3 linked regions of the Alligator mississippiensis genome follow. The protein of the gene in region 2 interacts with the protein of the main gene of each other region in a pairwise test. Links are inferred from orthologs where the notes say so. Each region holds a gene or a part of one and is shown on either strand. Other genes may lie near its edges.

Region 1 (7,602 bases), on a different chromosome or scaffold from region 2:
CTTCAAACATTATTACCCATTCCTATAAACAGTGCTTGCCTAATGTTTCATATATCAGAGTCAAATATTTGTATCAAAGCATTTTTTAAAAAATCTGGATCTCCAAAGATAAAAATGTTTGAAAATTTCAAAGACAACTAAGTTTTGTGGTAACGTTTTCAAAAGTGTCTAAGGTTATGTCCACAAAATAAACGTAACCATCTTCAGGACAGGCATCATGTGCTGCTCCACACATGGTACTTTCTAAACCAGAAGCAGCATAGTTACAACCACACAATGTTAGGCCACTTATAGCCTATTCTGTAAGCACTTAAGCATATTCTTGACGTTACAATTACAACTAGTTCCAGTAAAGTCAAGAGAATTCCTCTCTATGTAAGTCTACACACATTTAATTTTTGCACAATTAGTGTCTCAGTTTGAATTTTCCCAAGGATTGAAATTTTTTGTATTGAAACGTTTAACAAATCTACACAAGATGGGATCTTGCATGTCATGAAAGTCTGCATAAAATATGTTAACATAGGGGTTCCTGATCATCTCAACCAAAAAAAAAGAGGACTGTACATCATAATTTTCTAGCCCTATCCTGCAGCATTGGTGACCTTTATGTGATCATTTCCTCTAGTCATTACAGTTCCCCCATATTATTTTCCCAACCATCTAACTTCTCTAAAGAACACAGAGCTCCAAGGATCCATTCTGACTGAAAGTAAAACTGCACACAGATGATGTCAGATACTGACATCATGTTTTCTATCTGTGAGACATACCAGGAATTCTCTGTTGGTGGCATTCACATTTTAAATGCTATTATGCCATTTTTTTAGAAAAGAAAAAGCTAAATCTACCTGGATCTGCTGATCTGTAACTCCAAGCTCCCAAATATCATCACAATTTAGATGTCTAGCTGCTCTAACTGCACCTACATAAAATTAAGACCCTTTTGCATTCTAGAGTATATGCACTGCAAAGAACCCAAGTCTGGCACTAGAAGCTTGGTGGATCCACCCAAATTTTGACCCAAGCCCCCAAAGCCAATGCCACCACACAGAGAATAAGTTTTGTAGCTTGTACTGCACTAAAGGATTCCAGACCCCAGTTATGCAAAAACCCATGAATCCCCCAAACAATGGGATGTAGCAAATCTAGCTAATATTTGCCTTTTTCCTATATTCCATACTACATATAGAAGAATACTGGATCCTGATGCATTCAGACACATGAACACTGCAAAATTCTGCATCTGGAATCTCCCTGCAGTCAGTCTGATGATTTTTGGCTTCAAGCTCCAAGTTACACAAACATGTAGGGCTGCTTCTGTTTCACTTGGGGAGAGGGGTGTGGGGATGTTGGAGGGGGGACCTGGACCCTCTTTTGGATACCAGTCCTATAGCACTAGAAAACACATATTTGGCAATAGAAGTCTGCCAATTTTTTAACTACAGCCTCTCAAATTCTATTGTCTAAATCAAGAAGAAGATATAGGAGTTCCTAATGAACTGCCAAATCCAGACTCTGTTGTAACAGTCAACATATGCATCTAAAATCCCAAACCTCAAAATGGTACCAGCTCAACAGGGAAGGATAGATGCTCTACTCTCACTCAAAAATTCAGATCCTGGTATATCCCTGTTCAATAGCACCACAAAGATACTCAGCATTCTTAGCCTGGTGAATCCTGCCCAAAGCCCCAAACTGTATAGTCAAAAAAGCACATTATCCTTTAGAAAAATGCTGGCTCTAATACACACCAGTGCAAAAGCAACTCAAGAATATGTACCTTGCACCTGGGTCCTGTTGGATTTGACCATTTTTGGCTACAAAGCACTTTTCAATTTCACTGCATAAATACAGATCAAGTACAGGCAGTCCTCGACCTACAGTGTTTCCAGTTACGTTTCACACTTACAATGCTTATAAATTGACACTGTTTCAACTTTCTGACATCAGTTTAGACTGTACAAAGCTTGATCCGATGCAATGCCATGCCAGTGAACACATTCACTGCATCACCCATCTCCCTGGAAAACATCTGTCCAAGCTTCCTTGGACACTTTCTTTAAGAAAGCAGCCAAGGCTCCAGAAAAACCTGCAGCCAAGACTCCTGAGAAGACTCCAGCCAAGAGCCCTCAAAAAGTCCAGCAAAGTCACCTCAAAGAAGTCCTTCCAAATCAATGTGATTGCTTATTACAATATAAATATGCTAATGTAGCTATATTACTCATCTATAATTGATTGAGTACAAAATTATGGGTTATTTTTGGTTAAAATAGGGTATCGGGCCTTGGTTCAGGAACCAATCCCCCATTTATAACATTATTTCCTATGGGAAAATCAGTTTCAAGTTACAACATTTTGACTTAAGATGAAGTTTTCAGGAACCAATTGTGTCATAAGTCGAAGGACTACCTGTATAGTCACTCCTGCAAAAAAAATCTGGCCCCTCATCACTCCTAGCACACAAACACTTGAAAAATCCAATTGCAGATCTAGGTCCAGCAAATCTAACTTGTATTATCACCATCATCACAAATTTTATCTTCTGGACAGATAACAAGTACAGCTATGCATGTGCATTGGATAAATCTGTAGGTAATGTGCTTAGATTTTTTCAACCTAAGGGATTTTTAGACCTGTATAACATTAGAAATTATTTACAATTAATGGAATTACAGTATGTAATTCCTTTACATTGTTTTGATTATCTCCATAAATTACTAACCCATCAAGTGTTTAAGCTAAATTACACAACCACTGGACCAGTTCCATTGCAAAATATACATACATAATATGACATTTGGAGGTACGGTATCTAGACAAAGTGATGTCAGATATAGGCTATTATGGTTTCACTGAAACACAACATGTGGGATACATATTGCATAACTACATTTTGCTATATTGATGCAACCTTTTTTCTCTATTTAGACAATTCTACTTTGATGAGGAGGGAGGGCTGAGGTTAAAAATTGGCAGTGTGAAACAGGATCCTAGAACCAGATATATGCTTTTCTAGTGGCATTAGGCCAGCAAGCATCAAAGCTTGAATTTTATTTCATTAATATGGGAGAAATGATGCTTGTTTTCTATTTAGATGTATAATCTAAACTATAATTTGGGCCCCCCAAAATTGCAAAGTTCCAACTGGATTCAATCCTGGAACCAAGTTTTTGCAGCACTGATCCATGGGGGTGCATCCAGGTCCATTGTTTTTAGTTGATTTTTTTCTGTTGTTGCACTGCAATAGTGGTAGCTACCTTTGTTTTCAGTTTAAGCCACAGAATATGTATTGGGGCCTGGATGAATGTGAGGATCCATATTCCAGATCCTGCTTTTTGCAGCCATCCCATACTGAGATGCAACGGTTCAAGGACTTTTGTTAGTGCAGTGAGACAGATTTATTTGTTCTTGAAACGCTATAAAGTTGGGTGTTTAGGGGCAACATTTGATGAGATTTAGTAGGTTTCAGTGCTCAGGCTCTGGGTTATGCTGGCACATAGATTTTCTGTGCCAGAAGTGACTAGTCTAGTTGTATAACGTAGGGTCTTTCTACATCCAGGTTTATTATTTTTGTGTCCTTTAGAGGTGCATGGGTTTGAGATGAAGACTGGACCCCAGAGTGTTCACCACCCCTGCATTTGTGCATCATGAGAGAGTGTCATTGCAAAGAATGAACACCACGGGGCCTTTCCTTACAGTCGCTTCTATAAGCGCTGCACCAAAAGGCAGCCAAAGGGGCCTTGTGTACACTGCAATTACTTGCAACTATTCCAGGCTTCATTAGGAACTGTCCCGGGGTTTGCTTTCACTCCCCAATGGCTCACACAGCTACAGATGGCTGCAGGTGACTGGAAATCAGAGAGCTGCTTCTCTGCACTGATGGTTAGGAAGGAGATAAAGGATACACAGCTGAGGGGACAGCAAAGCCACCGCCCTTGGACAGGGGGCTCCCAGGCGGTGGTTGGGACAGGATCCTGAAGGCACTGTGTACACAGGATCCTGTGTATACGTGTGCGGAATCACCACGTGTGTAATTAGTGTGTGAACACACATAATCAGCGTGCATGCATTTAGTCAGTGTGTACATACATGTAATCAGTGCCTGTATGCCCCAGTGTGCAATCAGTGTGTCATCTATGTGCCACCTGTGTAACCAGTGTGTGCATACATGTGTATAATTGCGGGGAGGTGTGCAATCAATGCCCCTGTGTGAGTGTATTATCAGTGTGTGTGTAATCTAGCCAGTGCGTCTACACCTATGTAACTCGTGTGCGTGCGATCCGTACGTGTGTGTAGTCTGTGTCCGCACCTGCGTAAGAAGGGCGTGTGCATCACCAGTGTGTAAGGTGTGTGTGCAATCAGCGCGTGCCCGCGGGGCTGTGCGTGCGGCGCGGCCCGGGGGCGGCTCCGGGCCCAGGACGCCAGGGCGGGCGGCGGGTGCGGGCCCGCGCCGCGGTTGCCAGGGCGGGCGGCGAGAGCGGCCCGGGCCGCGGTTCCAACTGGCCCGCACCAACAGACGCCGCCGGAGCATCGGCCAGCCCCGCGCCGCCCCCGCGCGCTCATTGGCCCCGGCTATATAGGCCGGGCGGGTCGGGTCGGGTCGGGCCGGGCCTGAAGGCGGGGCGCAGGTAATGCGGGGGCGCTGCCCGCTCACCCACCCATCCACCCACAGCGCCCCTTGTCCTTGCTCCCGCCAACAGTGGTGCTCCCTGTCTCCACTGCTTTGAGCCTACACAGATCAGGCTCAGATCCCAGGTGTTCATTCCCGCCGCTCCTCCCCCCCGTACTGATCTCAGCTGCTGGAGATCAAGGTGCAAGCTGTAGTCTATTTGGTTGGGGTAGTAAAAAGAGCATGGAGGAAGGCTGCTGCTTCTCCACTACAGTGTATGTGTGCATGCATAGGTGACTGGTAGGGGTCCATGTGTCCTCCCCAATGACCAATACTGATGCTGTCGGATGGGCTGGTGCCCCCCCCCCCCCCAGGGCTGCTGCCATTGGTGACTTCTGTGGGCGCCCCCCCCCAGATTCAGAAGGCACCAGTCGTGTGTGTGTGTGTGTGTGTGTGTGGGGGGGGGGGGGGACACAGGAGGGAGAGATACCAGGGAGATGATCAGTCTTGGAGGAACAACTAACCTGCTTTTCTCTTTCTTTCATGCTGTCTGTCTCTCTCCCCCCCAGCTCTCTGCTGCTGACTTGGAGGCCATGCGGTGCAGCGAGGACAAGGGTGGGGTCTCCCAAGTGGGGAACCGGGAGCCCCGCCAGGCTGCAGCTCCTTCCAGCCAGCCTGCCCTGCAGAGGGCTGTGCTTGGGTTGCTGACCGAGAATGGACAGTGCCTTCGAGCCTGTAGCCAGGTAACTCTTGGAGAGCTGCTGCTTACACTGGGGAGTGACCTGGTCTGACAAACTTTTTGGGTGCTGGTGCAGAGACAGTGTGAGCAGGGATGGTGCAGGTAGCTCAGCTGGGATGGTGCAGGGTAAGCCAGTTCTCAGGACTTCTGTGCTAGAGTTGGGGTGCTTCTGGGAAGGCTTGTTTCTCTTTGTGTCATGCACAAAGGGCCACTTCTGATGGGCAACTTCTGTCCTGTTGATGATCTCTAAACTTGGTTTAAAAAAAAAATGAAACCAATAAAACCTCACCCTGGTTCTGCAGACAAACCTGTAAAACTGAAGCATGTTGCTGTGATATTGATACACAGGTATCCCCTCTGTCTGTAGTACTCAAACTTCTCAAAGTCTTATCCCAACAAGACAGGTTTTTAGGTATCTAAAGTCCTAGGTACCTGGCTTGCTGATTCTTCTTCCCTTTAGCTAAAGTGGCTTCTGACTCCCAGCTCCCCTCAAAAGGGGCACAAGGTAACAACCCTCCCAAACAATGATATTGGGCATTTTCTTTTTAAACCCACAGCTTGGAAACATGTAATTTTGCAAGGCCTGGCTTTCACATTTTCAGATAAGCTTCTAGCTCATAGGAGTGGGGAAAGGAAAGAAGTGTTAAATGTGGCCTTGGCATAACCTAAAGGTGCAAACCAAAAAGTAAACCACCTGTTGGAGAGTCTTCAGTCATAAGCCAGTCTCTACTCGAAAGGAATATTTAGAATTAGCAGTATTGGGATTGACTTGGCTACTACATGCTATGCAGCATGGAGAGGAGACGGGTCAAGTGGCCATGAGGGGTGGGGGGCATTTGAAGGGCAGTGCTTCAGTTACTACCCAATAAGTAGGACTTCTCATGGTGGGAAAGAGGATGGCAGGGGCACTGCTGGCAAGCACTTAATATAGTGATGCTCTTCTTAACCTGCTCAATCTTTTTCCTGATAGGAAGGTCACTGAAGGGACTGTTAAGCAGCCTTTTTTAGATGCTAGAATGTGGGGTTTGGTGGAAATGCAGATGCTGCTGAACTGCCAACTACTGCTCTGTGCCTCCACGGTCATGTGGCTGCCTACAGGATTCCCATGTCGTGGCATGATGTTCCAGGAGCTAGAACTACTCCTGGGGGAAGCCTTTATTTTTGCCTTGGCCCCTCTTCCCTTGCTGATCTTATTACCTCTGGCACATCAGCTGGTCCTGAAACCTAAGGCTTGTAATACAAGTTAATGTGACTCTAGTACTGCACTGCAAAAATTGGCTAGAAATGCACTTTTCCTGTAATATGGTTACTATTCCTTTAGGGTGTCTGATAGCCACCTGACTGACAAAATAGTAAATGACTCTTACTTTCACTGACTACTACCTTTTTAGGTTTCACCTTGCATTGCGTGGTAAGAGTCATGCTCTGTGCCCTTCAAGCCTGTTCCTAAACAAAAAGATCCTTGTTTTCAGAAGTATGGAGAAACCACTGAAGCTAGTAGGCTTTCAGCATCACTTGTTTGAGTCTGTGTGCAGTTCTTGTTGGTATAGTCCACTAGCCTGTATTTATCCTAGCCATAGCTACAAACCCGATATGCCTGTTCATACTCCTGTTTACGTACAGTTGTGGGTTAAACTACAGTAGTCTATGCGGGGGAGGGGTCAGAGGAACAAAACAGAGTTACCACTTGTAATCTGCAGCATAATGTTATCTTATCCATGCAAACTGCTTCCCCCCCCCCCCCCAAAAAAAAAAATTCAGACAAAACGGTAAGCTTATTGGTAAAGCTGACAAATATTATTTCCTTTCCTTCCTTGTTATCTTAGTTTAATGCTTTCAAGAGTCCTAGGCTTCACTTTACAATTCGTATCTTTTAACTAACTAGCTTGAAATGTAGTATGAAACTTCAGTAACTCTCTGAGGCTGGTCCTCTTGCTGACATCTAATAGTCCCCTATGCTGCTTGTGCCGAAGACCAAACCTGGTATACAGTTAATACGCCATATGGCATAAAAGACTCGGCTTACAGCAAGAAGGCAATAAGTAGAACTTAAATACCAGTTGTTAATTGTAAGCTTTCTTCTCAGCTAACTTCTAGCTTTTTGATGCAAATAGTTTTCTCTAGTTGGTAACCTGCAGTGTTGTATAAAGTGGGAAGCTTTCTCTTAAAATGGGAATTGTTCTGTTCCCACCAATTCTCTCCCTACAGAATTACTCTCTACTCTGTTTCAGGGCACTACCATTATCAGGCA
Region 2 (7,796 bases):
ATGTTGCAGGACCAGCTGATGGTGTTGGACACCATGAGGCAGTTCATCAGCTTGGCGTAGTGGCGGGAAACATGGCAAGCACGCAGGACGTTCTCGTTGCTGGGGTCCCAGGCTCCAAGTGTTCCCATGATGAGCATGTCAACCGTCATGTCGTAGGCGCAGCCCCTCAGGATGTCGGCCAGCGGGACGTACTTCTCCCACTTGTGAGCCCAGATGTCGGTGAAGGCTTGGTGCTAGTTCTTGAAGGGGAGGGTTACGTCCATGATCATGACCTTCTTGGTCTCTTTGTTGGTTATCACGATGTCAGGTTGCATCTGGCTCTCGCAGCCCGGGACAGTGCGGTTCACAGAGATCTCCCCTGCTGTGGCCAGGATGGCCCTCACCAGGCAGTCCTGGACAGCATTGTGGCGGAGCTGCCAGGCTCTGGCATGCGACCTGCAGCTGCACAGCACGTGGGGGAGGGTCTCTACCGAGTAGCCACACCGTCAGCACCTCTTGTCCCGGTGACTGAAGCAGACAGCCCCGTTCAGAGGCAGGCAGTTGAGGCAGGCGCGGTGGAGGAAGCACCAGTCTGCAAAGCGCGTGAAGCTCCCGCTGGGCATGAAGTGATTGCTAGAGTCCCACTTTGAGGTGACGTCAAAGACCTTGCCCTGGTCGGGTTTGGCCCTCTGGTCGCTGGTGTACTTGTTTCGGACGGCTTCCTTCAGGAACCGCTTCAGGAAGGTCCTTGTGCTGGGCGTCATGGTGACATGGTCGGTGTGCGGGGCTGATTGCAGGGAGACTCCCAGCTCCCAGCACTCCTTGGACCAGGTCCAGGACTACACTTGATTTGAGCCTTTACTAACAGGAGCACCAAGTCCAAGTCAGAGAAAGAATCATGTCCCAGGTGTAGCAGGCTTGTACAATGGTTCCAAGGCTCAGCCCCACACCTGCCTGCCTTGGCCTCTCTTTTGGTCTCTTGTCTGGTGGGGCTGGGCCTTATTTTACTAGAAAAACAAACTGGCTGAACTGAAGAAAAAATTATCTTGGTTAAAGGCTGCAGTCCCCTAATTTAGATGCACTTCAGCTGGTTTGACCACCCTTGGATGAGTGGTTGTTGCTATTCCTAATTGTTTGTATTGTGTTAGCCTAGAGGAATCCAAGTCAGAAACCAGTTTGTGGGCCTGTGCATAAAAACAGAACAAAACCAGTGGTCTCTGGATGTATACTGGGCACATCTACACCAGACACTAAATGTGCAGTAGTCTAATACTACTGCTCAGTAACATGTCAGGAAACATCATGCTAATATGCTACTGTGCAGTAGTGTTAGGCTACTGCTCAGTTAGCATCACTAAAAAGCTGTGCATCAGTGCTATTGCACAGTAGTGCCAGTTCCTGCTCATTGATTTAGTACTTGGTTATATAAGTATCAAACTTAATGCACAGTAACTATGGTGCATTAATGCACGTGCAGACACGGCCACTGATTGCTTGTATTTCTGATTTTTCAAGTGATGAAGTTGAGCCAGTGCTGTTTTCTACTACAGGCAGATCCTGACACTATAAGGACACTCACCAGATAACCACCCTTTCATAACCAACCTGTCTGTTCCCCGCACGCCAGCCCCATCTGTCACTGAAGCATCAGGCAGTCCTGAGCAGGGCACACCTGGCTTTGCAGAACTACTTTTCTAAACTGGACAGGCTTAAAGTGCATATACCAGATGTGGCTCAGCACACTAAACACAGTTTGCTTCTCCAGCTGAGACAGTTGCAAGGAGTGTAAAATGGTACTTGTGTCCTGATGGCTGTGCAAGTTAAAACACAGTCTCAAAGACAGAAACAGCCGGGGGGGGAAGAAAAGAAAAGCCTTATTTGATATAAAACAGTGGAATGGGTGCCTGTATTGCCCACTCTTGCAATTGTATTGTAAGTTGTGCAATACTTTAAAAAAAAGCGTCAGTTCCTGCAGACATGAGTGGCAGTCTGCATTTGTTTTTCAAGTAAGTTGCTAGAACATGTGGTTGCAGAGAGAAGCTGGAAAACACAAACCAACTGCTACCTAAAAGCTGATAAAAAAATCCCATATTTTTTTAAGCCAGTCTCATGATTATCTTTTTTTTTGGCTTTACACACAATGTTTGAACACTTGGAGTTGGCAGTGCTGAGATATTCTGGGCATGACACACTGAACACAGACCATAACACTAGGGATGTTTGGCTCTGAAACGAACTGAAACTATGGGCCTTGGGCAAGTCATGTGAATTTCTCTGCCCTGGGACTGGTCATTGTTAAGAGTGGGAGGGGAATGGAGAAATAAGAAAATGTTCTGGATTTTTTTCCCCTTCACCCTCCCCCTAACCCCCCATGTGTTGCCTTATGAAAGTCACTTCATGCTTGTAAAACACTATTATGATGAAGATATAGTTGCTTCAGGAATACCCATAGGGGAAGCTTCAGCAGCTTAGACCCAAACTGGTGTGCGTAGGTGGAAAAACACTCAGCTACTTCAAAACCAGGCCAGTTGAGTTCTCCCCACCCCCATTGTATTGGCTTTTCACTCTTTAAAGGATTTTGTCTAAACAAGTTGTGTGCTACATGGATCCCTGCGAAGTCATGCAGAAATACAATCCCACTGATAGGGAAATTATGATCTCTTGCCTACCAAACTGAGGGGACCCTCGTTAGACTGCAGGGTAAAATGCCTGTGGCCCCCACAGGCTTCAATTCAAAGGTCCAGCCATTCCAAAGTTCAAGCCATTCACCGACAGCTAGCAGCATCTCCAGGGGGTGCTCGTTGTCCCAGGGGGATGAGATGATTCCTATGTCCCTGGAGAAATTCCCCACCCACATCCAATCATTCTGATAAAGGAAATGGCTTGGGATGGGACCAAGAACTGGGAAGGAATGGAGAGTGGTCCAGGGTCACTCTTACCCTCTTTGTACCTGGGGGCGGGGAAGACACGCGTGAGCTGTGATTCCAGGAGCACAGAAATATTGCAGAAATCAAACTGGCTTTGCCCCTGCCAGGTTGTTCCCACCTAGGGAGAGTCTCAAAGCCACTTCCTCCCCCAAGTCCTTTCTCCCTGAGGGGAGGAAGACACATGTGACCACGATCCGTCTAGCCCCCAAACGCTGTTCCTTAGCTGGCTGGCAAAAGGTGCACTGGCATGGAGGGGTTCCTTCTTCCTCCCCCGCCACCCCCCAACACATGTTAAACTATGAAACGAATGAAACTAGTAAGTAGTCAGTTTTAAAGCTAACAAAAGTAAGTTCTTGTTCACACAGTGTGGAATTAAAGTGTGAAACTCATTGCTGCCAGACACTGAGAAAGCTGGCAGCTCCACTAGATTCAAAAAGGGATTGGACACATTCTTGGAGGAAAGGGGCATCGGGAGCTATTGAGCATGGGAGTTAGGGGTACGGAACTTCTTAGACCTTAATTCGTTTGTATCTTGTTGAAGGACTAATCAGTTCCAATTCAATTGTGCAAAGCCCAATAGTCAAGTTCCAACATTTGACTGAGCGGAGCTCAATCCATAAATCTGTGTGGCTCCTCCCTCCCAAACCCATCTGTCTGGGGCTTTGGACACTCCCCAAATCCAGAAAGGTATCCTACATGCAAGCCCCAGGCCCAAAAGCCTTGGGGTTTAGATGTCCTAGACCTTAAACACTGTCCCAGACCTAGCTGTCCTAGACTTTAAACTGATCGGGGGGTGGGGGGGAAGTGTCTGGCTTGATCTTAGCATTTAAGGTCTGGGATAGCGGTCCCCAAACTGTGGGTTGTGACCCCAAATGGGGTGGCAACATCAGTGGGGTGTCCACATCCGAGGATGGGGTTGCTGCGGGTTGGGAGTGAGAGGCCGTGCTGAGGAAATCGGGCTGTAAATGGGGTCATGCTCGGGAAAAGTTTGGAAGCTGCAAGCGAGATGTGCAGCAGGGGGGAGAAAACCTCAGACCCCTTTTCAGCACCCGCCGCGTGACACGGGGGCAAGACGGACCTGACCAAGTCAGTAGCGAGCCTTGCGTGGCCACCGAGAGAGCCCGTGGGGACTGACACCCACCACACAACAAGGAGGCGCCCACATGCAACCCCCAGCTCCCCTCGGGGCGCTTTCCTTGAACTCCTGACCTCCGCCTGCCTCCCCCCGCCCCGGGTCAACACGTAACTCGGGCTCCCGCGCCCGGGTCCCCCCAGAGAAGAGGAGCAGGGCAGGAGGAGGGGGTCAGAGCTTCCCTTCAGCCCGGGGCAGGGGTAAAGCAAAGCAACCCCCCTCCCTGCCCCTAGCACAGCAGCTCGGGCCACCTTAACAGGGGCTGTCCGGGAGAGGCCGGGCGGGCAGATGGGGCGGCGCCCCGCGCTGGAGCCAATGGCTCCGCGGCGCTGTTTAAATAGACTGGGAATGTCAATCATTTTCTTCTTCGTCAGCCTCCCTTCAATCGCCATATTGGGCAAGCGAGAAGAGGGCTCGTCTTTTTCTTGTTTTTTTCCGCCTTTCTTTTGCACCCCCCTCCTCCCCCCGCTACTACGCCGCGCCTGTGACACCGGCCGCCGCTCGCCGCGCGCCCGGAGCTGCCCGCCTTGCTCCGGGGGGCCCCGCCGCGCCCCCTCCCCGCCCGCGGGGCTGCTTATGCGATTGCTGGCCGGGGCCGCGAGCGCGCTGCGGGCCACTCAAAAGAAAAGGAAAAAGAAGAAAAAAAGGGGGGTGGGGGGGAGCGCGGCGCGGCCACCCCCAGCGGCAAGAGGGGGGCGGGGGGGACATGTCCGACGTGCGCATTTCTAATGGGAGCCCGACCCTGGAGCGGATGGAGGGGAGGCAGGCGGAGCACCCCAAGCCGTCCGCCTGCAGGAGCCTCTTCGGGCCGGTGGATCACGAGGAGCTGAGCAGGGACTTGCAGAAGCACCGGCAGGAGCTGGAGGAGGCCTGCCAGAGGAAGTGGAACTTCGACTTCCAGCTCCACCGGCCCCTGCGCGGCCGCTTCGAGTGGCGGGCGCTGGAGCCCGGCGCCTCGCCCGACTTCTACTCGCGGCCGACGCGGCTGCCCAAGGGCAAGGGCGCGGGGGACACTCGCTGCGCGCCGCGCGCCGCCTGCGCCGACCCGGCCGCCGGGCAGAGGAAGCGGCCGGCCCCCGACGGTAACGTACAACCTCCTCTTCTTGCCTTGCGCACCTGCCCCTGCCCTGCCGCGCGGGCTTTTGGTCTGCCCTGCCAGCGGCACCCGCCCCTGGATGCTGCCCTGCCCCGGCACCCGCTTGAGTGGTTATTCTTTGCGGCACGTCTGCCCCTGCCTCTAATGCACGGCAAAAGGCGCGGGGGCATTGGCCCTTCCACCTGGGTCCCCCCCCCCATGCTCCTCTGTCTGCCCTGCCTCGCTCTCCTTCAACACCCACTTTACTATTCTTTTTACATCCGCTTGACTTATTATTATTTTTGTCACATCTGGCCCTGCTGCAGGGCAAAAGGCTTGTCCCACCTGAGTCCCCCAACTGGATGCTCCTCCGTTTTCCCCCCACCCAGGCTGGGTGCTCCAGCTGGATGCCCCTCTGTCTGCCCCCCTCTCGCCCCCACCCACGCTGGATGCCCCTCCATCTGCCCCCCTCTTGTCCCCTCCCTCCCTCGGCTCTACTTCCAGGGATTCCTAATGCAACAGCCCCAGGATCACAGCATCCCTGGGCACCAAAATGGAGAGAAGTCTTTTTCGACCCAAACAGGAAACCTTGTATCTTGCTTGAATCAGAGAAAGGACTCAGCCCCTAAGCTTTTTAAATGTTTTTTCTCCTGCCATCCATCCAGTCTGGGGCTTGTCAAAGGGGGGTGGGGGGGGGTTGGTCTTTTCTCTGTACCCTGGGTCCTGTGAGTGCATATCTAGCAGGAAATGTATTTTAACACCAGGTTCCCCCCCCCTTTTTTGCCCCCCCCAGACTCCTCTCCTCAGAATAAAAGAGCCAACACAGCAGAAGAAGAAGTCTCAGAAGACTCCCACAGTGCCAGCACAGTGGAGCAAACGCCCAAGAAATCCAGCCCAAGACAACATCAAACGTGAACTGTGTAGGTGGGTTCCCACTAGGATGTTGGTGTCCCAAAGAAATAGCGGATCTGAACAGGCAGGGAAGTGTGGAGTCACTCCTGCCCGTGTGTGTGTGTGTGTGTGTGTGTGTGTGTGTGTGTGTGTTGCTCTTTGAAGGCATTTCCAAAGGGGGTTTGGATGAGGCTGGCCATATTAACTGCATTTTGTTTGTGCTCAACCTTGAGAGATTTTTTTTTGAGGGGGGGAGGTGTCTAAGCAAGTCCTGGCTGTAGGCTGTTTATCCACAAGAACCTGGCTGGGGTGGCTTGGGTCACTTGGCTAGAAGGTGCTGAGGCCTCCTCTCCCAATAAGATGCTGGCAAAATGAGTTTCAAAACAGGCTCGCTCCAAAAAAAAAAAAAAAAAGTCAAACGACAAGTATTTTTTCCCCTTTTTGTTTGCTGCTTGGGTTTTTTTCTTGTTTTTTAGCTGGTTGACAATGTTAGCATTGTCTCTGGCTCAGCAAACAAGCCAGGGTGAGATCTCTTAAGTCAGTAAGGAGTGGAGAAAAAGTAAGGGGAGCACTTGGATTGAAATTCAGGGTGGGCAGAACATGTCTTCTACTTACTATCATCATCATCATTGTTATCATTATGTGTATTATTTATTGTGTATTATTTTTGGTTATTATTTTTATGCTGCTTTTATTATTGTTGTGATGATGATGATGATTTTAATAGGATGGCACCCTTCTTACTATGGTCATCATCATCACTAGTGTTATTTGTGTGTGTATTATTTGATATTTATTATTTTTATACTTCTAATTTTGATGCTGATGATTTTGAATACGCTGGCACCGTAGTGAGTGTCCAGGGCACCGAGGGGGTTAATGAGTTTGTTTTTTTGAAGCAGCCAGGGGCTGGGACGGCTAGGGCTGGCGGTTTGAAGGGAATCGAGGTTTTTTGGTTTGTTTTTTTTAAGAAAAAGGGAGGTTTACAGACATGCTCGGTGCCGAGCAGATGAAGCTGGAAAGCAGAAGTGAGCACAAATGAGCCCCGCTGGGGTAAACGGGGCCAGGAACACGTCAGCATGATGTGTATGCAAATAGCACTACTACTGTCTGTTTATTTGGGTGAGGGAAGGGGAAGCGGAGCCGCGGCGAGCGGCCGCACCAAGGGGTTAAGTGTGGAGGGAAGAGGGCTCCTGCTTTTCTTCTCGTCTGTGTGCTCCCGCGCGCTCCCTCGGGGCGGGGAGCTTCGGGAGTCGCCGGCGCCCCGCGCACCGGCCGCGAAAACAGCTCCGGCTCCCCTTCCCCCTCCCGCAGCCGAGCGCCACAGACCTGGTGACTCGGTGTCCGAGCCCTGTTTACAGGCGCGGAGGGAACCACTCCCATTTCCGTGGGCCGGGGGAGGCGGCCTCGGGTGTGTTGTTTTTCCACAGGGCTCTGCCCCTCTGTTCCCCTGCCTGGCACCACACCCGTTTACAAGCTTGGGGCCAAAACTGCGGCCCTCGATCTGGGGGCTTTCGGAGTAAAGCTGCCTCCCTCCCAGCCCCCTCCGCTAATACCTGCCCTTGTTTTTCCTTGCAGAGTTCATCTGCATTTCCTCCTTCATCTGGATGCCCCAGTGGTGGATGAAGCCAGGGAGATGTAAAGGTCTATTACAAATTAATAAAAAAAAATACATATCGTTGATTCTCCATGGGATGGAGATCTTGTACAAGCACTGAAGAAAAAACAAAACAAAAAAAAAACACAAAACGACAAAAAAAAACAAAACAATAACACTAAAATTTTAGGCACT
Region 3 (7,738 bases), about 4.8 Mb from region 2:
CCAGTCAGCCTCGTTTTCAGATCCTAGTATTCCATTGCTCAGTGTTCATATTACAAGCATTGCTGAAGGCTGTCTTTGGTTTAAACAAATAAACTACAAGAAAAATATCTGTGCCCACTGGACATTTACAAAAAAAGAAGTTACCCTCCTAAATTTTGTACCTTAGGTTCAGATTCAAAATTTGATCTGTGTCCCCGCAGTCCCCTTTTACTGTCTCTTTTCTTGTATTTGCTAGGGGAGGAGTTGAAATAATAATAAACAAGGGTAATAAATTAAGCTAGAAAGATGCAGAAGGCAAAAAAGGAAGAGCCTCCCTTATTTTCTGGAACATTAAATAATAAAATGGCAAGGTTCTTTGGGTAGATGTGATCTCTTTTATTAGACCTCCTGTCACACTTTTAGCTCGATTCATTCCTTGGCGATCTCAGAAGAACAACAGAGACTCCCTATGCCTGAAGAAGGGTGCTTGTGCCTGAAAGCTTGCAAAGAACATCTTTCCACCTACTCAGTTGGTCTAATAAAAGATATCACATCTACCCAAAGCACCTTACCTGCCTATGTCCTTAGACCAGCACAGCTACAACCAAAAACCCTGCAAATAATAAAATAGCATTTTTATCACTGTGTTGTTCATCGTTTCATAGATGTTAGGAGCTGGAAGGGACCTTGCTCCTGATTATTAATATAAAGGGAGGTCCCTTCCAGCCCCTAACATAGTTTTATAGAGGTTAGGATTAATATTAATCAGGAGCATCTGGTCCAGTTCATAGTTGCTCTGCTCCTGATTATTAATATAAAGGGATAACGGTACTCAAAGTGAATGGAAAATTATTGCAAGGGGGGGGGCAGGGGAGGAGGACGTTCCTAAAACTGATGCCAATCGCTTTTTTTGATCAGATCGCTGCCTTTCACAGGATGGCAACAGCACTAAGAGCAGCACAGCACCCCCTCCAGTACAGAGCGTGTGGCTTCCAGCATCACATACTATAACACTGTGCAGCAGCAGCAGCAATAGGCGCCGCTTTCCCGAGGAAAAATGATTCCCACGTGAGCTGGCAGGATGACGTTGAATTTCCGCGAAAATCCAGCATGGTGCGGGCTGCAGCTGGACTGGAGACATCGCTGCAGGGAGTGATTTAGACACTGGGAGGGGGGAGGATCTTCCCCACAACCTTTCCAGACACTGGTGTCAACTTTATAAGGTGTTGGCATACAAAGATATATATTCTGACAGCGTTTGATTGAATCATTTATGCTCTGAACCCGCCAAAAGAAGGGAGTGTGTGCGCGAGAAGGGGGTTTCTTTTTTTTTTTTTTTAGGGGGGGATGGGGGACTTGCTATTTAACATATGGCACTCGATAATCTCCAAACTGAGACTGTTAAAACATCTGCTGTCTCAAAATGTGATGTATTAAGAAAGTAATAATAATAATAACAGCCTAAAAACGGATTGCCCATGGGCATAAAGACCACATTACGAACCAAGTGGCTGGTGCAGCTTTGGTCTGAAACTGAGCAAGAAACTCCCAAAGCAGTGAGGAGAAATGACCTTTTTTTTTTGCTCCACAGCACAGAAGTGCGTCTCCGGGTGTAGGCATAGCTGCAAGCCCCGTGGCCACCCAGAGTCAAAACAAAACCCTCATCTCGACCCGACGGAGGAAAATGAGAACCACACGTTAGCGGCTCAGACATGAACCCGAAAGCAGGAGCTTGGACTTGGTGGCTTGCAAGGAAAGGTTGGGCAGTCCCTGCCCTGGCATGAAGTCGGGTAACTCTTTGCTCCCAGGGCGGGGAGAGGAGCATTTTTGCAACAACAAAAAAATTAAAAAACAAAAACAAAAAAACTAAATATAATACTTTGAATGAGAGGCACCGAAGTAAGAAAGCTTTTAAAATAAGATTTCTCCCCCCAGTGATCTCGCTTTGATCCTGAAACTGGAGGGCAATATCCATGGGGAGATGACAGGAGGGGGATGTCACCTCGTTTCTTGTCCTGGTGTGTGAAGGACACCCCCAGATGTGTGCTCGTTTCTTTTCCAGATGTGTGCTGTGTGCCCACGGGACCCCTCCTGCCTCTTCCTCCTGAAAAGCCAGCGCCTTTGCAAAGTCACTGGTCTTTCCCCCTTTGTCCTGATCAGTGTCACATCTGTACAAGGACATCCATCTCCCCGCTCCCCAGTGAAAATCAAATTCAAGCACAAGCCCTGGCTTGTTCGGGCTCCCAAGCTGGAGCAGGGCGTTTATGAATTCACTCCGATGAGTTTGGAGAAGGCAAACGTGCCATTGACACAACGCGCTCCCTGTTTACAGGAGCAGGCGGGCAATAGGGAAGGGGGAATGAATGGGGGGAGTTTAAAGAGCCTTTCATTGAGTAGCATGCCGCTTTTTAATAGCTCCTAGTTCATAGACCTCAGTGTATGTGCAGGGGTGGGGAAAGCTCCCTCCCTTTTCCCTTTCTCCAGGGGCAGAATACAATGCGGGCTTTGCACAACACAGCTATGTCCACCGCTTCCTACCGGGGACTTTTGATTGACAACCGCCCAGCTGATGCCATTATAAGGAGGCAGGAGGGGGGGAAATGTAGTGCCACTGCGATTTGTCGGGTGCCTGCATCCGGGGTTTCCTGGATGCGCACCCGGCCGCAGCCCCCTGCTCCTTTGGGGAGGAGCTGGCAAAGAAAATGAGGAGGGTCTCCCAGGAGGAGGGCTCTGCCGGCCCAGCAAGAATCAGCCGCACTGTGGGTTGGAGTCCAGAGGCGGGTGGGTGTTTCTTAATAAAAGAAACACGGGCATCATCGACTCAACATCTGGCTAGTCTGGGGCAGCCCCCCAGCACTGTGTGCTTCTATACTATAATAATATTGATATTGATAATAATGGTGATAATAATAACTCTCCTTATGACTTTATTCCTAAACCATCTGGGGCAACCCTGTGTGCCTCTATTGCTATAATAATATTGATATTAATAATGATAATGACGATGATAATAATGATGATAATACTACTAATAACTCTCTTTATGACTTGATTCCTAACCTGTCTGGGGCATCCCCCCAGCCCTGTGTGCCTCTATGCAAGAATACTGATAGTAATAATGACAATGACGACAATGATGATGATGATAATGATCATCTTTATGATCTCTTTATGACCAGCCCCCCAGTCCCGTGTGTCTCGATTGCAATAATCATATTGCTATTTATAGTGATAATGACGACGATGATAATAATGATGATGATATTATTACTATTATTATTATAGCTGTCTTTATGCCTTGATTCCTAATCTATCACAGCAGCTCCAGCCTCAGGGCAGGCTGTTTCGGTTTGCCCCGCAGTTTGGCGGGGCTGGCTGCAGGCTCACGCCGCAGTCGCTAATTGCATGGATTTATTGAGTTGCGGGAGATGAAATCCCAATCCCCCCCGACGGGTGAGGTCAGTAGCGGGTGGGTGGGTGGGTTCCCCCCCTTGCTGAGTTTCTTTGATGTAGGGAGGGACAGCTTCTTCCTTAAAATATAATCTGCCCAGTAACAATCAGCGCGCAGCAGCGAGAGCCCCAGAGCTATTGGCTATGCAAATAGAGGGAGGGGAAGCGGCTCCCCAAACTCTCAACTCACACTTTTAAAGTGATATTTCGCTCCTTCCACCCCACCTCCATCTTCCTTGGGGGGAGGAGGAAGGGATCGCGAGAAGCCGGGCTCATCCCAGGCATCATGTATCCCCTGCCTGCCCACCTCTTTCCTTCTCCTGCAGCCCCATCTGCATTTCCCCATAGGACCCTATGGGGTCCAGCTGCTGCAAGGGACCGAGCAAACCCCACGCACCCTCCCCACCGCTGCCTGGCCCCAGAGGGAGAGGGGCGGGGGGGCGCTGTGCGTCTCTGTCCGTAGGGGAAAAGTTACACATCCCTGGGCAACTGGGGACAATGTAAGACACGCCAAAAGAAGCCAGAGCATGAGTGACTATGAAAGCAAATGAATCAGAGCCGGGAAAGCCCAGGGCTTGGCCCGTGCAGCGGGGCAGCGGCCTGGCCAGCAGCGAGAACAGCTGTGTTGCATGCAGCGCGCAGCGGCGAAGGGTGGAAGTCGGGACCAGTCCTCCTCCCCCTTCTCCTCCGCCTGCCCCCCCTCCGTGTTTCCTAGAAAGTTATATCAGCGTGTGAGCATGCACTGGTAGAGCAGCTCTGGGCGACACACACACACACACACACACACACACACACAGTCGAGGAAGCTGCATTGTGGCCACTGCTAGCTCCCTCCAGACATCAGCGTTGCAAAGTATATACAGCCACCAGCACAGCCTCGGGACTCTGCTTTTGTCACCTTCTGGTTTGCCTTTCACTGGCGAGCAAAGTGTGACTGTTGTCTCCCGGTTGCAGATGAGAAGACTCATTTGGGGAGGGGGGAGGAGAGGGGAGCTGGAGAACTGACCCTGTGAGCACCAGCTCCTCTGCGAGAGCTGCACCGAGTAAGGACATTTCCTATTTCACGACTTCCCTCCCCCGCAAAATGAAAGCCCCGGGTGTTTAGGAAGCCAGTTTCCTCTGGCGAGAAATGACTAGAGACCCCGTTTGGCTACTGCGGAGGGGAAGGTTGGAGGGAGGAAGGGGGAAGCTGCTAGTAAGGGGGGGAGAGAGAGTGTGTGTGTGACACACAGTGTGTGTCTGTGTGAGTGTGTGTGTCTGTGAGTGTGAGGCATTGTGTATATGAGTGGGTGAGGCAGTGTGTGTGTGTATAAGCGTGAGATGTGTGTGTGAGTGTGAGGCATGGTGTGTATGAGCATGAGTGGGAGGCTGTGTTCATGAGTGGGTGGCAGTGTGCGTGACCGTGTGTGACACTGTGTGTATGAGTGAGACTGTGTGTGTGACGCTGTCAGAGGCTGTGAGAGACACACATTGTGTGTGTGTATGAGACTGTGTGTGACACTGTCAGAGGCTGTGTGTGAGAGACACACAGTGTGTGTGTGTGTGTGTGTGTGTGTGTGTGTAAGAGAGAGAGAGAGGGGGGCTGTGCATGTCCCCTCTGCGCCGGGGCCTCCCGGCCCTTCGCTACCCCGGAGAGGACAGAGCGCGGCGAGGAAGGCGCCGCCTGTTACGTCTGCCCGGCCGCCGCGCTCCAGCCCCGCGAGCGCCAGCGCTGCCTGCCCCGCCGCCTTGCGTCACTTCGCTTCAACTTTAGGCTAGAAATCGAGGAGAGCGAGAGAGGAAGAGGGGGAGAGAGAGAAGTTTCAAGGGAAGCAGGAGCGAGCTGCCTTCCTCCCACCCACCTACCCTCCTCCTCTACCCCTCTCCTTCCCCAACCCCCGCCCCCTCCCCCCCCAAAAAACAACTTTTCCATCCCAGAAAGAGGGAGCTCTCTTAGGAAACATGGAGCTGCTGTGCTGCGAGGTGGATCCCATGAGGAGGGCTCTCCCTGACCCCAACTTGCTCTACGACGACCGCGTTTTGCACAATCTACTCACCGTGGAGGAGAGGTATCTGCCCCACTGCTCCTACTTCAAGTGCGTGCAGAAGGACATCCAGCCCTTCATGCGGAGGATGGTGGCCACTTGGATGCTGGAGGTTTGTGTGCACCCCCTCCCCACCGCCGCCCAGCCTGGGCCGCCCACGTCGGGGCAGCAAGGGGGCTTCTTTGCTGCCTCTGCCCTCCTCTTTTTTTTTGCATGCTTCTGCTTTGCTTGATCCCTTCTGCAAGAAGGGGGATCCTCCGCTAGGCTCTGTTGTCCCCCCCTTTTTTTACAAGTTGCCCCCACTTCTCTTTTGCAGACTTCTGCTTTGCTTGATCCCTTTTGCAAGAAGGGGGGACCTTTCCTAGGCTCTGTTATCCCCCCCCCTTCTTTCCCCTCTCTTTCCTCTTTTTTTTGCAAGCTCCCCCCCCCACCCCACACACCCTTTTGGCATGCTTCTACTTTGCTTGATCCCTTCTGCAGGAAGGGGGGGAGGGTCCTTTGCTAGTCTCTGTTATTCCCCCCACCTTTTTTTTTTTGCAAGCTTCTGCTTTGCTTGATCCCTTCTGCATGATCTCATTTGCAGAGTTGGGGCTCCTTCCCCTCCATGCTTTGGGGGGGGGGTGAAATGGCGCACGTGTGTGTGTGTGTGTGTGTGTGTGTGTGTGTGTGTGCGCGCAGCCTAAGGGTGCAATAAAAAGCTTGCAAAGAGGGGTGCAAAAAAAGAGAAGGGGGTGCAGAAAAGTGACCGAGCCCGGCCCTGTGCAGCCGCCCAGCCCTTCTGCTCTGCCCCCTGCGGGCCGGGGAGCTGCCCCGGGGCCGAGCCCCGATCCGGAGGGCCAGGGGGTGCCCGCCCGAGCAGAGCTGCCCCAGGGGCGCCTCTGTGCCCACGTATGCAGCGCTCAGGACGTGCCCTGCTTGCGCCATGTTGCTTTGCATGCAGCCCTGCTCCCAGGCCAGCCGTCCCCCACCTTGCTCAGGGGCCGGGGGCTGCGTGTGCTGGGGGGGGGGGGGCATCAGGAGGCGCCCCGGGGCGCTCCCTCCCTCCATCCCCCACCCCGGGCAGCGCTGCCCGCGCCCCCCAGCCGCAGCCCTGCAAGCCCCGCGCTGGGCCCTGCTTTCCTTTGCCCCGGCCCCTCTCTTTCCCCCCAGCCCATCTGCTCCGGGGGGGGAGCTACAGGGTGCCCCCCTAGCGGGCAGGGAAGGGCAGCCCCCCCGCTTGGTTTTCGTGCCACTTCTGCCCCTTTTGCCCCTTGCTTGGATTTTTGGTGAATTTTTGAAGTCGTTCCCCCACCCGCCGCTGCGGAGCCCGTACCGCCCCCGGGCGCGTGGTGGGCGCGGGGCAGGGGCGCAGCCCCCGCGCGGGGAATTTTTTCAGGAGGGGTGCGGGGTGGGAGGGCGGCCGGGGGCGCCAGCCCCGCAGGAACTGGGGGGCTCTGGCCCACGGGGGGATTTTTAGGGATTTTTGGAAAATGTGACGAAATCCGAAAAGGCTGAAAGAAAAGTGGAGGAAGGTTGAAAGAAAATATATAGGTACATGAGCATCATGGGGTTGCCCAAGCTCAGTCTTTGGGCTCCCACACAGTGCCTTGAATTCATTTCTTAGTGAATGAACTGCAGGAATGCAAGAGGCCAGTCTCCCCGCCCGGGCAGCCCTGCCCCAGCGCCCCTCCGCAGCCCCTCTCCCTGCTCCCCTCCATGTGAGCATTCATTTTTTGTTGTTCTTCTTCCCTCTCCACCCTGCACTACTCTTCTCCCGTTCCCCCTCCTCCTTGCTTGCAGGTCTGTGAAGAGCAGAAGTGTGAAGAAGAGGTTTTCCCCCTGGCCATGAATTACTTGGACCGATTTTTAGCTGTGGTGCCCACCAGAAAGTGCCATCTTCAGCTGCTGGGGGCCGTCTGCATGTTCCTGGCCTCCAAGCTAAAAGAAACCATCCCCCTCACTGCGGAGAAGCTTTGCATATACACGGACAATTCCATCAAGCCCCAGGAGCTGCTGGTAAGCAGCCCCCCCGACCTCTACCTTCAGTGCGCCCCACGGTTACAGCCTCCTCCCCCCACTCACTCTCTCCACCAAACTTAAACCACAGCCTTCATTTGTGCCACACACTATTCCAACAGTTCAAGACCTTTCTGCCCCCTTTATGACCATTAAGGCGATTCCTGGAGTGGAAGGCACCCCCCACTTTTAAAGCATTGCATTTTTTACATTGTCAGGTTGTGGAGACTCCTAGCCCTTTTCCATTTATTTCATGGATCCCAGGACCAGCAAATGTCCTTCTGGGGCAT

What was found. The genes of interacting proteins can lie anywhere in the genome.
Region 1: the proteins of CDKN1B (region 2) and CCNA1 interact in binary tests that used the Homo sapiens proteins (3 or more experiments, as listed by UniProt). The link is inferred for Alligator mississippiensis from reciprocal best matches to the Homo sapiens genes CDKN1B and CCNA1.
Region 3: the proteins of CDKN1B (region 2) and CCND2 interact in binary tests that used the Homo sapiens proteins (3 or more experiments, as listed by UniProt). The two-hybrid records come from large-scale screens. The link is inferred for Alligator mississippiensis from reciprocal best matches to the Homo sapiens genes CDKN1B and CCND2.

What each region holds. Positions count from the first base shown.
Region 1 is NC_081824.1:420,989,466-420,997,067, reverse strand, and holds the start of CCNA1 (cyclin-A1), read left to right. Parts: upstream 1-4,526; 5' UTR 4,527-4,631; intron 4,632-4,647; exon of another isoform or gene 4,648-4,814; intron 4,815-4,823; exon of another isoform or gene 4,824-4,912; intron 4,913-5,181; 5' UTR 5,182-5,205; coding exon 5,206-5,355; intron 5,356-7,582; coding exon 7,583-7,602. UniProt on the Homo sapiens protein: May be involved in the control of the cell cycle at the G1/S (start) and G2/M (mitosis) transitions. May primarily function in the control of the germline meiotic cell cycle and additionally in the control of mitotic cell cycle in some somatic cells.
Region 2 is NC_081827.1:137,609,444-137,617,239, forward strand, and holds the start of CDKN1B (cyclin-dependent kinase inhibitor 1B), read left to right. Parts: upstream 1-4,393; 5' UTR 4,394-4,744; coding exon 4,745-5,120; intron 5,121-5,906; coding exon 5,907-6,028; 3' UTR 6,029-6,037; intron 6,038-7,582; 3' UTR 7,583-7,796. UniProt on the Homo sapiens protein: Important regulator of cell cycle progression. Inhibits the kinase activity of CDK2 bound to cyclin A, but has little inhibitory activity on CDK2 bound to SPDYA. Involved in G1 arrest. Potent inhibitor of cyclin E- and cyclin A-CDK2 complexes.
Region 3 is NC_081827.1:142,428,257-142,435,994, forward strand, and holds the start of CCND2 (G1/S-specific cyclin-D2), read left to right. Parts: upstream 1-4,662; 5' UTR 4,663-5,370; coding exon 5,371-5,565; intron 5,566-7,232; coding exon 7,233-7,448; intron 7,449-7,738. UniProt on the Homo sapiens protein: Regulatory component of the cyclin D2-CDK4 (DC) complex that phosphorylates and inhibits members of the retinoblastoma (RB) protein family including RB1 and regulates the cell-cycle during G(1)/S transition.